Struthio camelus: one gene and its partner. The protein of the gene in region 2 interacts with the protein of the main gene of each other region in a pairwise test. Links are inferred from orthologs where the notes say so. Each region holds a gene or a part of one and is shown on either strand. Other genes may lie near its edges.

Region 1 (10,354 bases), about 20 Mb from region 2:
GTTTTCTTTCATTGCCACTTATAAATCTTAAGATAGTATTTCCCACCCTAATCACATTCTTAACAAGACTTATTACAATCTTAATAGGCCTCTGGATGGTTTAAAAAAAAAAAAAAAAAGTAGAAATAATTCAGAACCGAATTCAACACTCCCAAACATAACTCTGTATAGGTTCACTGGCGCTGAGCAGCCATCAAATTGATCCCAGTTGGGGGCTAGTGAGAGCCCAACAAAGAGCGCTAGCAATCAAGTTATCGCTCCTCTTTGTCTCTGCTATACTTACTGCTAAGTCCTGATACCACGGTGAGATATGATCAAATATACCTTACAAATTTACCGAATTTAACTGTGATTATATTGGATTTACATCTAAACAGAAGTATTGTTTTTCATATCTCAGTGCCAGACCAATTCTAAAGCTAGCATCAAAGTTCTCTCCCCGCTAAAGTCTCTAATTTATATTTTAACCAATGTTTGAATACTGCTGAGGAGTTTAAAACTGAGGAATTACTCAGGGACAGAAAAGAATAATGAAGAAGGAGAATACTTTAAAAATACATGGTCAGAAAAAAATATCTCAAACAATCGCCTGTTGTTTTCACAGGCAGAGGAAGACCGGCAGACCTGAGAGAACTGCATGCCTGTCATTTGTGAAATATGCCGAATTGTCAAAGTCACTGAGTACTAGTGATATGCCAGGCAAAAATGCCAACTTAACAGTACAGAAATTCAAAGAATAAGATTACCTTGTTCCAATCTAAAGCATAGAGAACGTTTTGCAGCCTCTATCTCAGGACTTGGATGATCCAGAACACGTCTGCACCACTGCAGAGGACTGAGTGATTTCTCTTGAGGAGTGAGAGTCTTGGTAGGTAAGACATATAACCTTAACCAAAATACATACAAATATCAGAAAGATATGCAATACTTAAAAGTTAACTTTTGTACTCTCAGTTTCTTGCTAATTTCTAACAGTGCATAACCCCGCACTATGAAATTCTATTAACAAAAAGCATTCAGCAGGAAAAGAGTTTACGCTGATTTTTTCCCTTCTCCTCATGAAACGTGATGGCGAATTATAATCTCTACAGCTTTGGAACTTCAAATCAAAGTTAGATTAGATTACTCATGAAAATATTACATCTCATTATTACCACTGCCTGAACTTCAGCACCGCTCAGAGTTCAAACCCGTTAGGTGCTGTACACACAAAGATGCTATCAGTTTTCCCCTTCATATTTATCAAAGTTTAAATAATTTCAGTGTTTTATTTCACATTTAAATGAGAATTTCACTGTGATCTATTTCATGTGTTTACCTTTAATAATTTACTCAACGTGTCAGAATGCGGATTGTAATTTTCATACCCAGGCTCTTCTCCTAAATGAACTAAATGTTGTATAACAGTCAGACTTCAAAGATTAGAAAACATCTGCTGAGAAATGAAAATCCAGTTTTGATATTTGATTCCAGAAGGAAAAAAATTATTCTTGAAAAACTAGTATATATATCCATAATTCTCAGAGTACACTGGGCAACTAATCAGATGATCAAACACGTTTAGGAAGCCAGGTACCAAAGTAGCTTTCACAGGTAAATTCTTGAAGCTGGTATCTGCATTGCTCCTGCTCTCCTTATAGATTAGTGTACACATGCAGACATCAGTTCACCTGGGAGAGCACAAATCTTCCAGAAAGTGAACTATTAATAGCTACTGAGGACAGCCCTCAGCTCCTTGGCTGAACAGCATGCCTTATCACTTCTGATCGATGTGACTACTGACAAACTCTTACACAGATTGTCAGGCTCCAGCAAAATACCCAGATAACGCAAAGGAATTTGGCATGCAAATAGGGGCACAAAAGGCAAGACACAAAAAAAAAAAAAAAAAAGAAGAAGAAATTCTTCAGGTGGCCACTTCTAATGTCTACTCAATATCTTTTTTGTCTCTATCCAGCTCAAAATGAATAAATACCTTCATTGTAATTGATTTCTCTACTGGCAATCCCAGAGTTCAACTACTAAATTTCTCTGAGGAGAGTACTCATTTCCCCTTACTCCACGCTGTGCTTGGCTACACGTTTAAAAACATGATACTGAGAAAAATGAAAAAAAAAAAGAAAAAAAAAAGGAAAAGTTTTGAGGTCTCCTGTTAGCTTGCAGAAGCGTTTTGAAAGCTAAACATCTGACTGATGAATTCTCAATGATCAGACATTTGTATAAAAAGCTGACAAGCAGAAATAAATTTTGGCTTGTGTGCAATAAAGCCAATTCTTGTTTTTGTAACTACAGTTAAAAATAATAAAGATGTACTCAAGACTCCAAAATACTAACTCAACAGCGAGGAACATACTGGCCTTTGGATTATCAGATATCAGTTTGCTTTAATGACTTAAATTATAAAAGCCTCAAAGCAGCTGACATCAAACAGCTGACCATTAATGGACAACAAAGGAGATGCATCCTTGAAAGGAAAACGTACAACAGCTAACACAATTCACTCCAAATTGAATAAAAAAGTTAACAAACTCCTATTACCAGATTCTGCCTGTAGACACATATATGTGTGACATGAGTTGGAACTACAGGTCATGACATGAAGATAAGTTTTGGCCCCAAAACTGCACTTGGGTGGCTTCCAGAGTGCAAATCAAATAGGAAACTGATCAAAATCTTCACCGCACTAAGATACGTAAAATAACGCTGACTTTGTACTGCTCTGTTAGGTCAAACAAATTTGAGGAAAAATGCTAATGCAAAGGAAAGTTTAATCACTTCTACTCATTTGCCACAAGCAATGGGTTAGGTCTGAAGGAAAAACTGACTGAACTCAGAATCAGCATTCTCACAACAACTCATGCAGACGAAGGATACACAGAATGAAACAATACTGATAAAAATGTATGCAAAATTTCATGATAATTCTCAAAAGCAATTTCCAAAAACTAAGTCACAGTATTACTTTTGTGCTATGAAGTACATATAACCAGTGTTCAAGAAATACTGATGATATTTGCATTTTTAAATCCCTTCTTTACTACCAAAATAAGGATGTTTAACTGCATCTCAGCTGCATTATACTGTATTTTATTCTCAGCTGATGTATTCTTCAGCTTGATTTTAAAACTAAAACAGGTTAAGAAACTATGCTGAGGCATGAACAGATACTTAAAATGGTTATTTAAATATGATTAATATCCATTTTACTACTGACACTTTAATACAATCGACCATCAATTACGCTTAACGTGGTTACGTGGACAACGATTTCCACAATATTAGTGCAGCGCTTAAATAGTCTCTAAGATGTTTGCACAAGTTGCTCAGGCAACTTACGTAGCACCAAACAATCTTTCATATTTTTAGTCTATAATTTCTCCTTCTATTTATTTTTAAACGGGCATAACTATTCCTTTAGATCAATTTATTTTCTGCCCTTTTTTAAGAAAACATTTACTAGCACAGCGCCATGCGTTTTGGAACTACGTAAGCACTTCGGATACACAAACAACCGCGTAGATCAATGTCCCAAAAACAAAAGCCCTCCCAAATCCCGGAAGACCAGAGCCGAACTGGACAGAGATTTTAGGATGGGGAGGAAGCACTGTTCAGATAAAGGATTACTGGAACGGTTCCGCTATTTTTAATACCTTATGTAAGCAGTAGGCTGAAATTAGGCTGACACCAAACTGAGAGACAATTTTTTTTTTTTTCCAACGGGAAAAACAACAGCGAATCCCTGCTTTTCCCGACGGGAAGCCTGTGCCTTGGTCCAGCCGCGCCCGCCCGCCCGCCCGCCCGCCCGCCCGGCCCCTCGCCGCGCCCGGCGCCGGTGCCTCCTTCACATCACCGGCCCGGCCCTGAGCAAAACCGGCTGCCCCCGTGTTTCCCCGTCGGCCCTGCTGCGGCGCAGGCTGCGGCCGAGGCAAGCCGCCCTCCGGCCCCTCGAGCAGGAGCCCCAGGGCGGGCGGGCATCCCGGGGAGGGGAGCAGGGACAGGCGCCCCGGGGGATAAAGCCCTGACCTGAAGCGGGGCACAACCCCCGGTCCCCCTACGCGGGGTCCCCATTCACCGTTATAGGTTGATCTCACCAAGCAGGTGACACGTTAAAGAGGAGAGGAGAAAAAAACATAAATAAAACGCAGATTTAAGTTTAAGCAGAACAAGAGCAAGTAGATGTGGGGGCTAATGCTTATAATAGCCTGGAGAGCACCATCTGGGTGAGCATTAGCGGGGAGGCGGGGGACACCTGCAGCCCGGCGGGGGGTCAGAGCAAGGGCTCTGCTGCCCCGCGGTGGGGTGGGGGGGAGGGAGACGGCCGGGCCGCGGCCCCCGGCGCTGCCCCGGGTGGGGAAAAGGGAGGTGGGCGAGGGGCACCGAGACCGAGCCGCCGCCGGGCAAGGCCGCGCTACGAACCGCACGTACCACGTATCCTCGTCCTCTCCGCAGCAGCCCTCCTCCAGCTCCAGCACCGCCACCTCGTCCAGCACCGTGGCCGCTGCCGCCGGGCCGCCGCCGCCGCCACCCGCTTCCTGCCCGCCGCCGCAAGCCGCCGCCAGGCCGGGCGTGGGCTTGAAATAAGCGAGGGGCTCCGGCGGGCCCAGCGCGGCGGCGCACAGCAGGGTGGGCACCGCGCTGGGCGCGCAAGGAGCGGCCCCGCCACCGCCGCCGCCGGCCGCCGCCGGGGGGGGGCCAGCAGGGCCCAGCCCGCCAGGAGCCGGCGGCGGGGCCAGCAGCAGGTGCGGGCTGGGCGGGCCCGCGGCGGCCGCCGTGGCCGTGGCGGCCGCGGCGGCGGCACGGCTCCGCAGCTGCTCGTTTTGCTTCTCCAGCTTCCGCACCAGCTCCTGCAGCTTCTTCACCTCCAGCTCGGCACTGACGACCGAGCCCACGGCGGGGCCGGCGCCGCTCCCTTTCACCTCCGCCATCATCGCCGGCTTCAGCAAGGCAGCCTCCATCCTCCCTCGCCGCCGGCACCTGCGCCGCCGCTGGGCAGCGCCCGGCGCCGCGAGCGGCCGTTGGCGCGCGGGGGCGGGCGGCCGTTGGCGAGGGCGGCTCGCGCCGCTCCCTCGCCCCTCCGCGCCCTGCGCTGCGCTGCGCTGCGCTGCGCTGCGGCGGCGCCACCGCCCCCCCCCACCCCTCACGCCCGCCGCGACGCCGTAGCAGCCGCCTCCGCTGCTCTTGCGCCTCCTGTCAGCGGCGGCGCGGGAGCCGGTGAGATCCCCTCCCACTCGGCAGCCGGAGCCCCCCTCCCTTCCCGCCCCATACAGAGAGAGGGAACAAAGAGCCGCCCGGCTCCCCTGCCGTCAGGCGGCGGCGGGCGCTCCTTGGGGGCGGGAGGCAGCGCGGAGGGGGGTGGCGGCCCGGCAGCCCCCTCAGCGCCACGGCCGGGCTGGGGTGGGGGCTCCGGCCAGGCCCGGCGGCGGCCCTCGGCGGGAGAGGGAGGGGGAGGACGGCGGCGGCGGGGCGAGGGCCGCGGTGACCCGCGTGGGGGCGGCGGGGCCATGTCATCCCGGGGCTTTAGACAAAGGTCTTTGCCCGGCCGTGGTTGCGGCGCGCAAACGCCGCTGCCGGGCTGCGAGCTGGATCCGGCCCAGGCTGTCATTCCTCCTGTGAGCCATATAATTAGCGCCTGGTGGTGTCAGGGTTGTAATTATGCAGATTTAGCTGTGATGGGAATGAGAATCACGAATCAAGGCTTTGTTGTGTTGGAAAGGAACGAATTCAGCCCAAAGCACGCATTTGTGGCTTTGAAACATGCTGATTGTAGGACTTTTGATTCAGGACAAGGAAAGTGCATGTCTTTTTGGAGATACGTTGCTGAAGAAGCATGAAGACGATTCAAAGCGTAGTAGAAAACCACATAAGCAAATCGTTTATGTATCAGAGAGCCCCTGAGATTAAAATTGGCCCCGTGTTGAAATGAGGTCTTTTAACTTGATCCAGATACGTATATGGGTTTGTAGTGTTGAGTCTCTGCTTGAGAGGGATGGATGACATTGAGATATGGAAATGTTTTTATATTGTTCTTCATTATCCAGCACTTAGAGAAACTATTGTTTGCTTTTCTCTCTCCTGCCGAGCAGGTGACCTGGCAGCTTGGTCTGTCAGGCATGTGCATGGAGGTGAAAGCAGGAGCCGAGAACATCACCCCCGGTCGTCTGCCATGGTGCCCTTGCCAGGGGCCAGAGCGAGTCTGATGTGAGAACAGTCAAACCACACAGGGGTACCCTTGATCTGAATTATTCACACAGGATAATGTAACTACAAATAACTTCAAAATACTGACCACTTCTGTGAGCTCATTACTGTGAACATGAGTATCCCAAATGCTCAGCAATAGTGGGCATAGTCAGCTCCTCCCTGGAGGCAAGAAGATCAACAGGGATTCAGTGTTATGCCCAAGGCAACTTGGCCATTATAGAATCCAGGACTGCCCATTTTCTGGTCCATTTCCCCGAGCTAGAATTACAGAGGACAGCTTTCTAAATGATTGTCCTGAAGTTTCCTAAAGCTATAATACAAAATACGCAATAAAATCGCAGGAAGCAGTTAAATTGCTGGGTGAGTCACTATGGACTATAGTCACTATAGTCACTATAGCTATCAAGATACATAGGGTAGCTTCCCAGTTACTGAACATCAACACTGGACAGAGTAGTACCAACAACAGTCACCACTGCCTCTTCACAGTGTCTATTCCCTATCTCAGATTTCATATGTGAGAAGGGGACAGGCCCTAATTCTCTGTTCAGGGCATAAGTAAACTTTGAAATCATCCGGCCTGTCAAAATTTTCTGTCTTTTGTTTACACTCTTTGAAAACAGACTCTCTTTTTTCTGCATATGCACAAGACAATGAGTCTACTATTTGTTAGTCTTCTAAGCGCTATTACAGTGCAAACAACAACTAGCACTTCAAGAATGGATGGAAAGGAAGATAAAATAGGGCATAAGGCTTTTTGACTTCCAGATAATGTAACTTTTATCACTGAGGAGAATAAAAATAGCCCTCACTGTATTAGTGTGCAACCAGATATCAGTAAATCCAAAAATGTGTTTGATCTCCTCTGCCCGTTAGGAAGAAAGGAGTGAAAAAATGTTAACGGTGTAGAAAATGGCTGGTCCCAATTCTGTCACACATCATCAGAGTGAGTAGTATAATCCAGTTTTTGTTACTACCAATAATCTTCATTTCCATGAGAAAAAGAGGAATAAGTTTCAACATGTTTAGCCCCAGGCAAAAGGCCTGTCTCTCACGTTGTCATCCCCCATAATGGTACTAGCCTTAATTCTTAGAAGTATGTGTATGCTAATCCAGTAAAATTTTTAAAATGATAAAAAGGTAACTAGCAGCATATGTAATATAGCGTTTACTGGTCATTGGTGCTGTACAACGTAAAAAACGCAGTAGTTTGTGATAATGTCACAATAATTATGGTGGATAATGCAATGAGGCAGAGGAAATACTGAAAATGTTCCAGAACGGAGAAATTACTTTTTCTCTTTGAACCAGGTGAGCAAAGTTATTTAGACGACGAACAAAAAGCAGGAAATTGATATCTGATTGTTTCACCTTTCAGCTACATAGCGTTTTTCCTAATATTTCCAAATGTTTTGGCACGGGTTTATCCCTATAACCTTCAATATTCAATATTAAATGTGGACCTGGCAACAATATTCTAATTATATACCAGCTAGGTTAGCCCTGAAGAGTATTGACAAACAAATGTCCTGAAAATACTAGTGATCCAAGCTCTTCTGACTGCCAAAGCAGGAACACTACAGTGTGGTCAGGACATTTTAGAAGTAAAAATATCTAACACAGACACCAGTTTGGGGATACGTTTGGAGATATACTACAAGTATCATGGCACGTGACCTTAAGAGTCACTATTAAAATACTTATCTTCAGTTATGAGTAGAAGCAGTTTGTCTGTGAATTTTCAACTACCTTCCACTGTTTAGACTGCCTACAAACATATTGTATGCAGACACTTGTTTGGACCTAGTTCCAGAAGGGACAAAGCTTAGGACTGAGTATGATGCCTTAGCATGGGGATAAAAACTTTTCCAGGCAGTTTGTACAAATTAATCAAGTTCACTACATCCAGTCGCCACAAAAATGGTCCAGAAGTTTGGCTCTCCCTAGGGTGGGTCTGCTTTGAGCCTAATCTCCATCCAGCAGTATGGATTGAAAACAGCTTAAACTTGTGCATGTTCACAATCTGGGTGAGAGACTCTATCTTTTTTACCAGGCATTTCCTGAAAGGGTGGTTCTAGTGAATGGAAAAAATCAGTTTCGCTATGGTTGCTCTATATTAAACGTACAGGTAGTTTCACTAACATTGCATCTTCACTCAGAGGTTCTGGCAGATAGAGTGTGTGTACATGAACATGCTATTTCATGGTCTTTGTGCTGGCCAAAAAGATGGTTTTGACATCCTAGTCATTAAAATATTTTTGACCTAAGTTGTTTTTTTAATACAAATGGTTTTTCTCCACTGTTGACATTGCTAATAACTTGCTTGACCAGCTCCATTCAGAATTCCCACACTTGCTGATGTGTTTGGTCAACCCAGAACTCCTACAGCTCTTCACAAAACACAATGAAGACTGTATGAAGACTGCATCCCTTTTTTAAGTTATTGAAAAAATGTGTTTTACACCAATCCAAAACATCCAAACATGCCCATGAAGCCTGTTATTCCTCAACCGGAGAAACTGTGGTAGCATAGAAGATGGTGGTTTAGGCTACTTATGTGACATAGTATAGTAGAAATTTCTGAATCAGAATAGTTACTAATAGACACCCAGTGCAGAGAACAAAGAAGCAGGAAGTCTATAAATCCCATCTGCTCTTCTCTGATAATAAGCATATTGCTTTATTCTGTAATAGCTGCAGGCTGGACCTGCCTTTCAGGCAAGCCAGCATAGAATGAACTGCAGTAATCCAGTCTGGGCTATACAAAGCATGTGTTACAATAAAGTCAGAGCATGAATGGTAAAGTCCAAGTCTGGTGAAATTTTTAAAATGCACTTGCATTCTGAAAAGTCACTGCGAAAGTAGTTTTATAAAAAATAGAACATCTGCCATGTGGAGTTAGAGCAGAAGTCTATCTAACCCAGTATCCTATCTTCAAGAAAGGCTAATAGTAGCTGCTTAGGGAAGAATATATCACAAACAAGAAAAATATTGAGGGATTCTCTCCAGTTTTCAGTGGTTGGTGGATGGGACATCTGGACCGTTTGTTTTTAATTGCCAGCAATGTGTAATAACATTATAGTTGTCAAGCCCCATTTTTAAACCATTTATACATTAGAACTTTACAACACCCTCTGGCAATTAGCGCTGCAGTTCAATTATGTATTGTATGAAAAACTGCTTCCTATTATCTGCTTTAAACCTGCTGCCTAGTAATTTAATTGGGGGTCTCTTAGTTCCGGTATTCTGAGAAAGGCAGAATGATTACTCATTCTCTGTTCAGCTTCTCTTTGTCATTCACGATTTTATAAACATATTTTCCCTCAGTTACTTCTCTTCCAAGCTGACAAACCCTAATCTGTATGATCTTGCCCCCACAGAAGTCAGTCTTTACCTCCCATTCTTTCCTATCTTCCTCCATAACGAAAACATTTTTTTTCATACTGATGTTTTCTTTCTTTTATTGCTGCAAGTTTTCTTATATGATGATAGCTTAGGGAAAGAGTGTAACAAAAACTTATCGAAAATCTAAATATACTCAAATACATAAATCACCTTAACTAAAAGCATATTGGCTCCTTCAGAAATACTAATATATTTATGAGCATGCCTTGCTTTCAAAAAGCTGTATGGTCACTGCTCCAATATATCATAAATATCCGTATGCCTTTATATTCTGTTAATTATTATAATTTGTACAAATTGGCTTGATTGAAAAGTCAGACTTACTGATCTGCAGTTCCCCAGAGCAGCTTTCATATTTTTTAAAAGTCTGATGTCACAGCTGATGCTTCAAATTTGCTTGGCACCGAGTCTACGTTGAGTGATAGGTGCCTGTAGAGTTCAACAATGTCCACACTTAAGTTGCTTTAGAATTTTTGCAGGGATACTGTCTGGTCTTAGACATTTGTTATTGTTAGCTTTATACATTTGTTCTAAAATATCTGAGTTGTTAATTTCTTCTTTGAGTTAGAACATGGATTCTTCATTCCCAAAGTCTCTTGCAAATGTTTTGCCACCGTAGGTTTTTTTTTTTTTTTAATTTCCTGGTAACTGGCTTTGTCATTTTTATACAATTCTCTCTCTCTCTGTTTTTTTATCATTATGTTTATGACTTTCTGGCTTTTTCCGTAATAAATTAATGTTAAATTCG
Region 2 (10,132 bases):
CAGTTCTCCTATAATTATTTTGTTAATGCATGAAATTCAAAACTTAGATCAGCACAGCTGTATCACCTGCATATGGTGCACAACTAGTTCAAATACAGAAGGAGATGAAAGCATCAGTTACCATCCTGACTGCTCCTCCTTTCCCTCGATTTTTTACCAAAGAAAGCACTCGCACTTTGTCGTTTCCATATTTCTTGCAGTACTTCAGCGCAACCTAACAGACACACAAAAAACCAGCATAAAACAAAAACAGGAATCAAGGCAGAAGTTTTCATTTGCTCACCATTTTTTTTTTAATTCAATAGCACAGAGTAATAGTCCCTTCAGTCTGCACAAATATATTGCCCAGAGATTGCTGAAGTCTGTTCAGGAAAATAAAAACCAGTTCACAGTGAACACAAGAAGACTGAAAGAGACAGTCATGTTCAACTAGAATATGATATTCCCCCAGGCAGTTCTAGACCTCATTTCACCTATCTCACCAAAGTCTAAAAGATTCAGCACTAATGTAGTTTATATTATACTATTACAGGCCTTTTACATTAACACCTATAGCTAGTCAAAGAAAGAAAAAGTCTGCTACTAGTGCCACCTATTTCTCATTTGTTTCACTGTTATCTGTGGTATTAAAAAAATTCACAAAGGTCAAAAATCCCATTCACACTGCAGGGATGTGCTCTTTTGGTCCAGACGGTGGGGGAAGAAAAAACATGAGTTTTCTCCTCTAATCTTTTCCAAAGGTTGCCTCAAATCCTTGCAAGTTTGGAGGTCCATGGCCACAGCGTGCTCAGTTAGAAATTATAAAGAAAGAGTGCAAGGAAGACAGTAAATGTACACACACAATCCTTAACAGACAAGTTTAAGGGAAGGAAATGGAAAAGCAGCACTCATGTTAATTAAGTGGTTTTGAAAACCACTACCAGTGGCAAGGAGATTTTTAAATGAACAATTTCACGATCACAGCAAGCTATGTTAGAAACATTAAAAAAGACTAAAGTGATAGTTAAAAAGAGAAACACAGAGAAGGATGAACAAGCATTCTTAGAAGAGGAGAAATTCTGAAAGAAGTGGAAATTTGGAGAGAAACCCTTCCCCCCACCCTCGACTTACCGATGCTGTCATAAGATAATGAATTACAAATTATAATGTTTTGAGGTGACACTGTGGAAGTGGTAGCGTACTTGTGTAGCTGTAACGGTTTGGAATATCATTCCATGAACGGTATGGGAAAGAGCTATAGAACATGTCAGCCACTCTGTCCATCACAGTACAAATCAGCTATTTCAAAAGGCTTCCTAGCCTCACTCAACTTCATACTTACATCACTATGTACACGCAGAATATTTCAGAAGAAACCTGATGAAGTTGAAATTAGAATTTTAATTAGAATTTGAATTTTAATTAGAATTAGAATTTGAAATTAGAATTTGAAATTTAGCTGCAGGAAAGTGGCTGTCACATTAGCCAACCATGAATAATTGCATTTGCAAAATAGTTAGATATGCAGGCATATGTGCACGTGACATCCATAACGCAGGCAGGATAATGACAGAAAGCGTTCAGAAGCCTAAATTTTAATTATCAAGTAAAGAAAATTATTCAAATACCAAAATGTAAGAACAAAATATTGTTATGGTTCACAAATGCAATATATAAACCTATACATCCAATTACTTGGTAAGAAACTGCTCTCTCTTACCTTTTTGGTTAGATCTTTACTACCATCGTCAACCACTATTACTTCATAAGTGAATGAAGGATCTTGTTTCTTGAAAATAAAGAGAGAAACAACGCATTTAATACAATCTTTTCAGTAGGAAGCATGCCTTTCAAACATCAGTGTTCTCTTCTACCGTTTGTGTTTACAGACAGGCATCAATATGATGTGGTAAATTTGTTACGACAGTAAACACAGTTAAGGAATTTTGCCGTATTAGATGTCTGTTGGCTTGTCATATTTTTCCTGAGCTACATCTAGCACTGAAAAATCAATTTAGTTGAAAAAGGGTATGTGAAAGCTCAGAACATCACTGTTAAAAAACAAAGAAACAAAAATCCAATAAACAAACACCCCCCCCCCCGCACACCTTCATAATGGGCGTCTTAATCAGATAACCAATCCTAATGAAGAACAAGTGTTTAAAAATACTGGAAGAACAAACTAGCTTGTAGTTCAGAGACTTAAATATCTGGTTAATTCTTAAACTCTATCTTGGATACATACCTTGCATGGAAATTTTTGTCATGATAGAATAGTTAATTAAATTTTTACTTAATTAAAAAATACCTTCCAGCATTCAATCTTAGAATAACTGATAAGAGACAGAAGCACTACTTCTAAGTAGCTGAAGTTATACTATTTTAACATATAACAAAACAATCAAGTGATTAGATCACAGATTTATATGCAATACATACAAAAATAATGAATTATGAATGCAAAATAAAATACCTGTCTTTTTTCTAGATAATCTAAAGCTTCATCCATCATAAGAGGCACTACAGAAAAGGTGGAGGAGCTCAGGTTAGTAGATATAACAAGCTAAACACCAAGACCACCAACAAGCATATGCACAAGCAAGCTGACAACAACCATAGAACTAAGAAGAGCAAATTGATTCCTTCATAAAACACTAATTTCACTAAACAAATCTAGCACCTGCAATTCTAAGTGCTGTCCTTCCTGAATATGAAAATAATAATGAAAAAACCCACATCTAAGACAGGGGATGAAAATGTTTCTTTAAAGATCAAAAACAACTTTTTAGTTTGAAAATGTAATTCTCTACATAGTATTAAAGAAAAAAAAAAAGCCTTGCCTCACTCTGCGAACCAGCACTGACTAATCTTTGTGTTCACAAAAGATGACAGAAGTCAGCAAGAGAAATTCCTAATACTAGTCAGCACTGTGCATTCGTTTACTAAGGCTGCTGACCCAGATGCTTTAGGCACCTAACAGGCACTACTTTTGCAGCTGAACTATCTGTACATTAGAAAGATGTTCATTCTCAGCTGCCTTTGCAGTATATGCTCATTCCTGAGCAAATCTCAGGTGATTGTTCTGTCTCTGAAGAGAGAAGGCCAAATGAAAGTCACATGAAATGTATTAAATCCTTGCTCACAGAAAGCGAGCGCCTGAGAACCAGGACTGAGAAATACACTGGACTCTAGAAAGTGCCGGGCCTACTCTGCAGACTAGATACATACTATTTGCCAATATCCCTTGTCATGGAATCCTGAACAGCTCACTAGAAAAGGGAATGACAGTGTGTGCTATCATGTCAACCGCAAGCAGAGCTTCAGAGCTTGATGCTTTCTTATCCCATCAGAAAGCCTTCACCTTTTAGCAGCATATAAATGGCCAAGACAAAAGTCAAAGGGAAACCCATGCGATCATCTTCTTTCTGCTTGAGGCTGCTGCTGCCGGTTTCAGAGTGGAAAATTCTCAAATCAAGTTCAAAAGGCCTTTTCTACATCTCTTCTCACAGCATCTACAGGGGAATAAGCAGCTACTTTGCTGTGCTTTATTTTAATATAATGCATTCTTACAACTGATTTTTGTTGCTAAAAATAGCAAAGGCCAAATTATACAATTTCTTAATTCTGAAATTCAGTGTAGTTGGATTGGTTTCTGGAAACTGGGTACAACATTAGACACGTCTAGCCTGCCAGAATCTATTGCTAACATAAACTAACCTCTGCATTATTAGAGTAATAACAGATAGATTTTCTTCTTTTTCTCAAAACAAGAAAAATCTTACACCGGTCTTCCTCATTGTATGAAGGCACAACAACAGAGAGCTCCCTTGTAGGGGGATCATGTATACTTGGTACAGATTCTTTCCTGCCTTCAGCAGTTAGGAAGAACTTCTCTTCTTCATGTCGGTGAAGGCTTGGCATTTTTATGGCAGTTATGTGAGCAATTATACAAATCTGTGAAGAAAAAAGAAAAAAACACGCAAGAAAGTCTTTGCGCACTGTTTATGGAGTAGTGTCCTAGTAAAGGTTTACCCAGCTATTGCAACGTGCTACAATCGGACAATCAAATGTAGTTCGGTAATGAGCTGGGCTAAACGATGCAGTATTTTACCTATTGACCACATCATCCAGGATCAAAACCTTCTTATGCCACCTGCTCACTCCTCTTCATCTAACCTGGACACACTTAGCATCGGGAGTTTCTGTTTTCAGACGGAAGGCACCTTGAATGCTTCTGAAGATGTGGTCCAAGCCCCACTACACCTTCTCCAGCCTCCACCTCTAATACTACTAACTTCTGCCACCGCTGATCCCCCGCGGAGCCACTGCAGTGGATGGTGTTACTCATGAGCTTAGCCAGCCCCACGTTTGCAAAAATCACTTTTCTGCCCAGCTCAAATAAATCAGTAAGGCTTTTTTTTGGAAGTACTTTTCCTAGCGAACAATATATATGCAGTTCTCCTGACTAGCAGCAGCGCCCGGTTTCCAAGCCTCACAGGTCTCAGCCTTGCACCGTGTTTTAATCACCTAGAAAGGACCAACACCCCTAAACGATTAAGATGCAAAAAGCATCATGAGGCTATTCTAGGAGAGATCCGAAACGAACAAAGCCCCCTCCGTTTTCCATCTCGTTTGCCACGCGGCGCACCGACACGCCTTGCGCAAACACACAACAACGCTCCCAGCTAAGCCGCTGCGGGAACAAGAGCGGCGGCAACCGGCACCGCTGGCCACGCCGGGGCGCAGCGCAGCGACCCGCGGAGCGCGGCCGGCCTCGAAGCGCCGCCCGCGGCCGCAGCCCCGCGGCAGCCCCGGCCCGGCGCCGCGAGCCCCGCTGCCCGCACACCCGGCCGGGCCGGGCCGGGCCGGGCCGGGCGTGGGGGTGCGCGGCACCGCCTGCCCCCGCCGTGCCGCCCCCCGCGGCTCTCACCAGGACGAGGGCAGCGGCCGCCAGCGCCGCCAACGCCGCGGCGGCTTCGGGCAGCGGCAGCGCCATGGCCCGCGGACGTGGTGGGGGGGGGGCGGCAGCGGCGGCTGCCAACACCCTTTCGGGCAGCTCCAGCGAGGCGGAAGCGGCCGCCTCGCCGCCGCGGCGCCGCCGCCAAGAGGGGCGGCCCCGCCCGCCGAGCGGCGCTGGGAGCCGCCGGCGCCCCCCGTCGGTGAGGGCCTGCCCGCGCCGCCGCCGCCGCCGCCGCCGTCGCCTCCTCTCCGAGGCGGCGGGCCGAGGCTTCCGGCCGGCTGGGTCACGGGAAAGCGCAACCCCGGAAAGAGACGGCAGGGAGGTAGCGACGCGACTATGGCGACAGCTTTTAAGTAAGTGACGGAGGTTTAGCGGCGCTGCTCGCCGCCGCCAGCGCGGAGCCGCGGCTTCTCGGCCGCTGCCTTGGCCGCTCCTGGCGCCGCGCAGGCCGAGGCGGCCCCGCTCCCGCGCGGGCGGGGCGGGGCGGGGCGGTGACGGCGGTGACAGCGGAGCCCGCGCGGCCCGGCCTCGCGCCGGAGCCGTTAGGGCCGTTGGGGCCGTTCCCGGCGCGCGGCTGCGCGCGCCGCTCCGCGCAGGGTGGCGGCTGAAGGAGACAGGGATCGAGCGCATTCTCTTTGTGTGTTTTTTTTTCTTTTAAAGCTGCTGTTTTCTGCTCTCGTTTGGTTCGTAGGGAAGACAGAAGAGGTAGGCGATGACAGAATGAGAGACAGTGGGCACAGATTGAAACTTGGGAGATTTTGATTAGCTACTTGGGAAACATTTTTTTGCGGTTGAAGGGGGGTCAACCAGCCGGGGTGTGGAATCTCCCTCCTTGGAGACAGGCAACTGGGCAAAGCCCAGAGCAGCCTGAGTGAGGCCTGGGACCGTACAAGCTCCAGAGGCCGCTTCCAACACGTTGTGTTTTCCTTTGCCTTCTGAAACATCGACCAGCGCGTTAGCGCTGGAGGAGGGCAGCCTCCTTCAGGAAAGGGAAGAGGTACTGGCAGTATCGCTTTAAGGAACTAATTACAAGAGCCACAATTTCGAAAAACATGGAAAAGTAGGAAATTCAGTGGCTGCTGGTTTATGACTATTCTTCCTGTCGCTGTTCTTTCCAGGTTTCTGCCTTATGATCGTGAAACAGGGTGTAGCAGGTGCTCCCTGTGTGAATCAGAAAAGAATAGGCCATATATTGGCATTACAAACAGTGGCAGAGGACTATCATATAGAGGACTGATGCGTTAATTCATGTTTGTTGTCATGAGCTGTGATGACTGTGTGCGTTAGATTGCATTTGGAAAACTTGTTTGAATTTTTCCCAGTTAATCGCGTTTTTCCAGAATTGCTTGTTTGAACAAAACTTTTGGCTTTGGTCAAATATCACGCTGCCTCTATAAGTATTTTTTTACTTAGACGTTCTGTGCTGGAAATACTAGTACACAAGCTGTGCTGGTAGTATCTGATTAATAGTAAACATTAAGTATTCCTCAACTTAAGCACTGCATACAGCATATTTCATAATGTTATATTTTTATTTAAAAGGGTTCTAAGAAAAAGCTATTACATTTCAAGACTGATAAATTGTTTTTTAACTGCTTTGTATATCTGAATACAGTCATTGAATGAACAAAATAAATCAGATAAGGTTACCCTTTCTGCAGCATTTCTTCAAAAGCACTTGAGACTGTTGCCTCAATAAACACTCTTTTTGATCAGAACTAATTACTTAAATAATAAATTTAAAAAGATTCTTGAGGCGAAAGCTAGTTTGTATGGGCATATGGGCATGCAGATTCCCTAGTTGTAAGACAGAAGCATTTTGTTTCAAGTAGATAAAATGTTTATTTTTTCATTCTCCGTTTTTCCAAACCTTTTCTCCTTTTTAAAAATCATACATGCATTATAGTAGGTAGCTTTCTGAAACTTAGGAGGCCTCATCTTAGATCAGTTAAGTTTCCTGATCTTGCTATAATTGTATTGCTAATCAGCTTTGCTAGTTAGCTTAATTCTCAAATGACAGTTGTTGTAGGAAGGTGCCTGCTTTTCTTTTTTTGCTATATCTTAGTTACCAGACACTTTGCATGTGAACTTCAATTTCTTTTTATTTTAGAACAGTGGAACCGTTGGAATATTACAGAAGATTTTTGGTGAGTAAAACATGATGTGCATGTGTAAATTGCTTGTAATCTGTTTTTTTTTTTTTTTCTGATGTACTTTTGCTTTTCTGATTTGTCTCTGTGGAAATCTTGATACTTGTAATGCAAAAATAAAAAAATTGATTAAGGGGAAAAATGGTCATACTCTTCACAGCATATTTTGCGTTCCGTCTGTGGCATTCATTCTGGAGCAACTTCACATGGGTAAATGTTACTTTTGGCCTCGGAAGCAATGTGAATTAAACTTGACTAAGATAGCGGCCCAGGTTTGTCTCTAGTACAAAATGATCCCAGGCTGGGCTTTTAGCTGTTACTGAAAAATAAATAATAGAGCTATTGCTGCTAACCATATTTACCATGAATATGGAGGAAGAACACTGACTTTTTTGGTAATGCATATTATATTAGTCTATGCATTACTGAAATAATACTAAGAAATGAGTCTAGTATCATTGCAGTCAGCTTTAATTCTTCTAAATGCAGAATTGATGTGTATATTAACAGGAGCTTCATTGTCTATGAGGGCTTAGTCTAGAGTTCTTTACCTTCTAAAACACTGGTTAGCAGGGAGATAGGTAACAAAGTATGATTAAGCTATGAGAATACATTAATTGAACCATTAAGTGAAGTCTTTGTTTTGGAGAAGCTTGAAATTAGGGTGCATTATCATTCCCATCTAACATGATGGTAAATTGGAGCTGCTTCTAACTTAATGTGTATATCCAGGTTTTGTTGACAGCTTTTAACTGACAATATTTAAGGTTTTTTTTTTTTTTTGGTTCAGTCCAGTGTTCATTTTAAGAGCTCCACTGGGTGGGGAAGCTACAAAAACTAAACAGTGCAGAAAGGTGGAAACTTTCTAAAGTTATCAGTACTATTCATTCTTGGATGGTTTTCTGAGTCTAGCCTTTAGCACTTACTCTTGAGACAATTCATTGTTACATATTTATTTTTCTAAAAAATTACAGGCCTAAAACCACAAATGGGGTATCAGTTGCTGGAAAACTCGGTTGAGTTTTCCCTAGCAATTTTGTAACTCCATATTTCTGCTAAAAATAAGCAAACACTTTTTATTAAAAAAAACTCCTGAAGCATAAATGTTGGTGTGTTATTTCATGAAACGTGTTTTTTAATTTGAAATCTGTAATTTTTGTTTAGAAAGAGAACTGTCGACCTGATGGAAGGGAGTTAGGTGAATTCCGGGCAACAACTGTCAACATTGGTAAGTGCTTATTTGGAATAACAATAATGATAGGATTTTTTAATTATTTTTCTCAGATTTTTATAGTTGGTGCCCTTAATGACTTGCTAATTGGTTTTCCTGGTGCTTCAATTTTGAAACAAGAAAGGAGTAGGATTTGCATTTGTAGTTCCAAACAGTGTTAAAGAGAATGCATTGTGCAGGAATATATTTGAATGCTATTATTCAGGTCTACTTCTGGGCTGATCTGCATAGCGTAATTTAGGATGCTTTAGGATGCTTGGGTGCTTGTCTTAAGTCTCACATAAGCTGTGTATGATGCTCTAGCATCTTGAGAGAGGCAGTGACTCCTGGATTCTGCTTTGTTCCAAGCTTGGTGAGCAGCTGTCTCTCACTGAAGCAAGATACCTGCTATGTAGTGAGCAGCAGCACCTTACCTTCCTGAGGAGCCTTCCCTAGACCTTGCAATGATTTTTGAAGAGTATAATTAACTTCTCTTTTTGAGAAGAAAGTACAGGTTAGCGTATCACCATGGAAAAGCTGCTCGTTATTGTTCAAACTGGAGTTAGTAGGTCTCTTCCACTGAACAGCATTGCCTTTCCATTAGGTCTTGCTGCAAGTCACCCAGATGGTGGTGTTATGTTAACTGTCTATGATTTCTAGTCTATAAAAGTTCTCTGTTGATAGGATCTGTGGTATTTAGAGCTCTCTTTTGCTGTTTTATCTGTTTGCGTAGTAAAAATATACATTTTCATCCAGCAGACCATTGACTACTTCTAATCCAAAAGGAATTATTACCTCAAATTTGCATTAATGAACTAAAAGTCATATGGTATGTATGAGAAAACTGGATCAAGATACTGATGAGGCAGGCTTATTCTAAGACAGAATGTTGGGAGAAAATAGTGGTAACGCATTTTGGATCACGGATTCAGCAACCTTTTGCTTATATTTTAGAAATGTTAATAATCCAGTCTTTTGACTGTTTGGTAGAGAAGGAGAGGTTCTGTTCTCACCCTGAAATCATGTACGCTTTGCTTAGCTTGTATTTATTTTTAAATCATGTAAATACTTTGTGAAGTTGGATGTTAGGTGAGGCCCTTTGAATAGAAACAGATTTTATTGAACAGTGCTTTCTCTCTTCAGGTTCAATTACAACTGCAGATGGTTCTGCCCTGGTGAAGTTAGGAAATACTACAGTAATTTGTGGTGTTAAAGCGGTATGGTTGGTTTTTATTTTAACTTTACTTGAATTTATGCATTCATCTTTAGAATGAATCTCCTGGAGAGCTGCAATAATATGCCAGACAAACACAATTACAGTCTTTCACGTAGGTTACTTTCAGGTCTGAAACTAAATATAATTTCACTGTCTAATCCTACCTATACAGTCTGAAAACATGTATTTTGTGTTGTGTATTGTGTATGGGGGACAAGAAATATGCAAAATTAAAGTCTTTGTTATTTATTGATTTAAAAACTAAATGAAGAGTTACTGAATGTTGATCAATAAATGAATTGGTAATTAGGTGGCTGGACTGTTGAGTGACTTCTAGCCTCAACTTTACATCTGTGAGACTTTTACAACAGGAAAGTGTACAACTTTCCTGCTGTGAAACAGGAGATGAATCACTTTACCCTCCTGTATTGAGTTTTCCCTCATGCCAAATACAGATACAGATACCTGAAAACTTGAAAGTGGCTGATACAATTGGATTTACAAGAGGCATTTTTAATGATAACCAGCTAGAAAATGACTGTTCATACAGAATAGTCAGAAACTCTATTTGTGAACAAAATTCACCTCTTTATTTTGTTCCATTCTGCAGGAACTTG

What was found. The genes of interacting proteins can lie anywhere in the genome.
Region 1: the proteins of EXOSC8 (region 2) and SLAIN1 interact in binary tests that used the Homo sapiens proteins (3 or more experiments, as listed by UniProt). The link is inferred for Struthio camelus from reciprocal best matches to the Homo sapiens genes EXOSC8 and SLAIN1.

Annotation. Positions count from the first base shown.
Region 1 is NC_090942.1:176,503,893-176,514,246, forward strand, and holds the start of SLAIN1 (SLAIN motif-containing protein 1), read right to left. Parts: upstream 4,964-10,354; 5' UTR 4,956-4,963; coding exon 4,426-4,955; intron 887-4,425; coding exon 747-886; intron 1-746. UniProt on the Homo sapiens protein: Microtubule plus-end tracking protein that might be involved in the regulation of cytoplasmic microtubule dynamics, microtubule organization and microtubule elongation.
Region 2 is NC_090942.1:196,282,929-196,293,060, reverse strand, and holds the start of EXOSC8 (exosome complex component RRP43), read left to right. Parts: upstream 1-5,103; 5' UTR 5,104-5,275; coding exon 5,276-5,292; intron 5,293-7,049; coding exon 7,050-7,086; intron 7,087-8,253; coding exon 8,254-8,317; intron 8,318-9,442; coding exon 9,443-9,516; intron 9,517-10,125; coding exon 10,126-10,132. Other genes in the region: ALG5 (dolichyl-phosphate beta-glucosyltransferase), read right to left, coding at 122-214, 1,700-1,768, 2,453-2,499, 3,762-3,933, 4,910-4,975. UniProt on the Homo sapiens protein: Non-catalytic component of the RNA exosome complex which has 3'->5' exoribonuclease activity and participates in a multitude of cellular RNA processing and degradation events.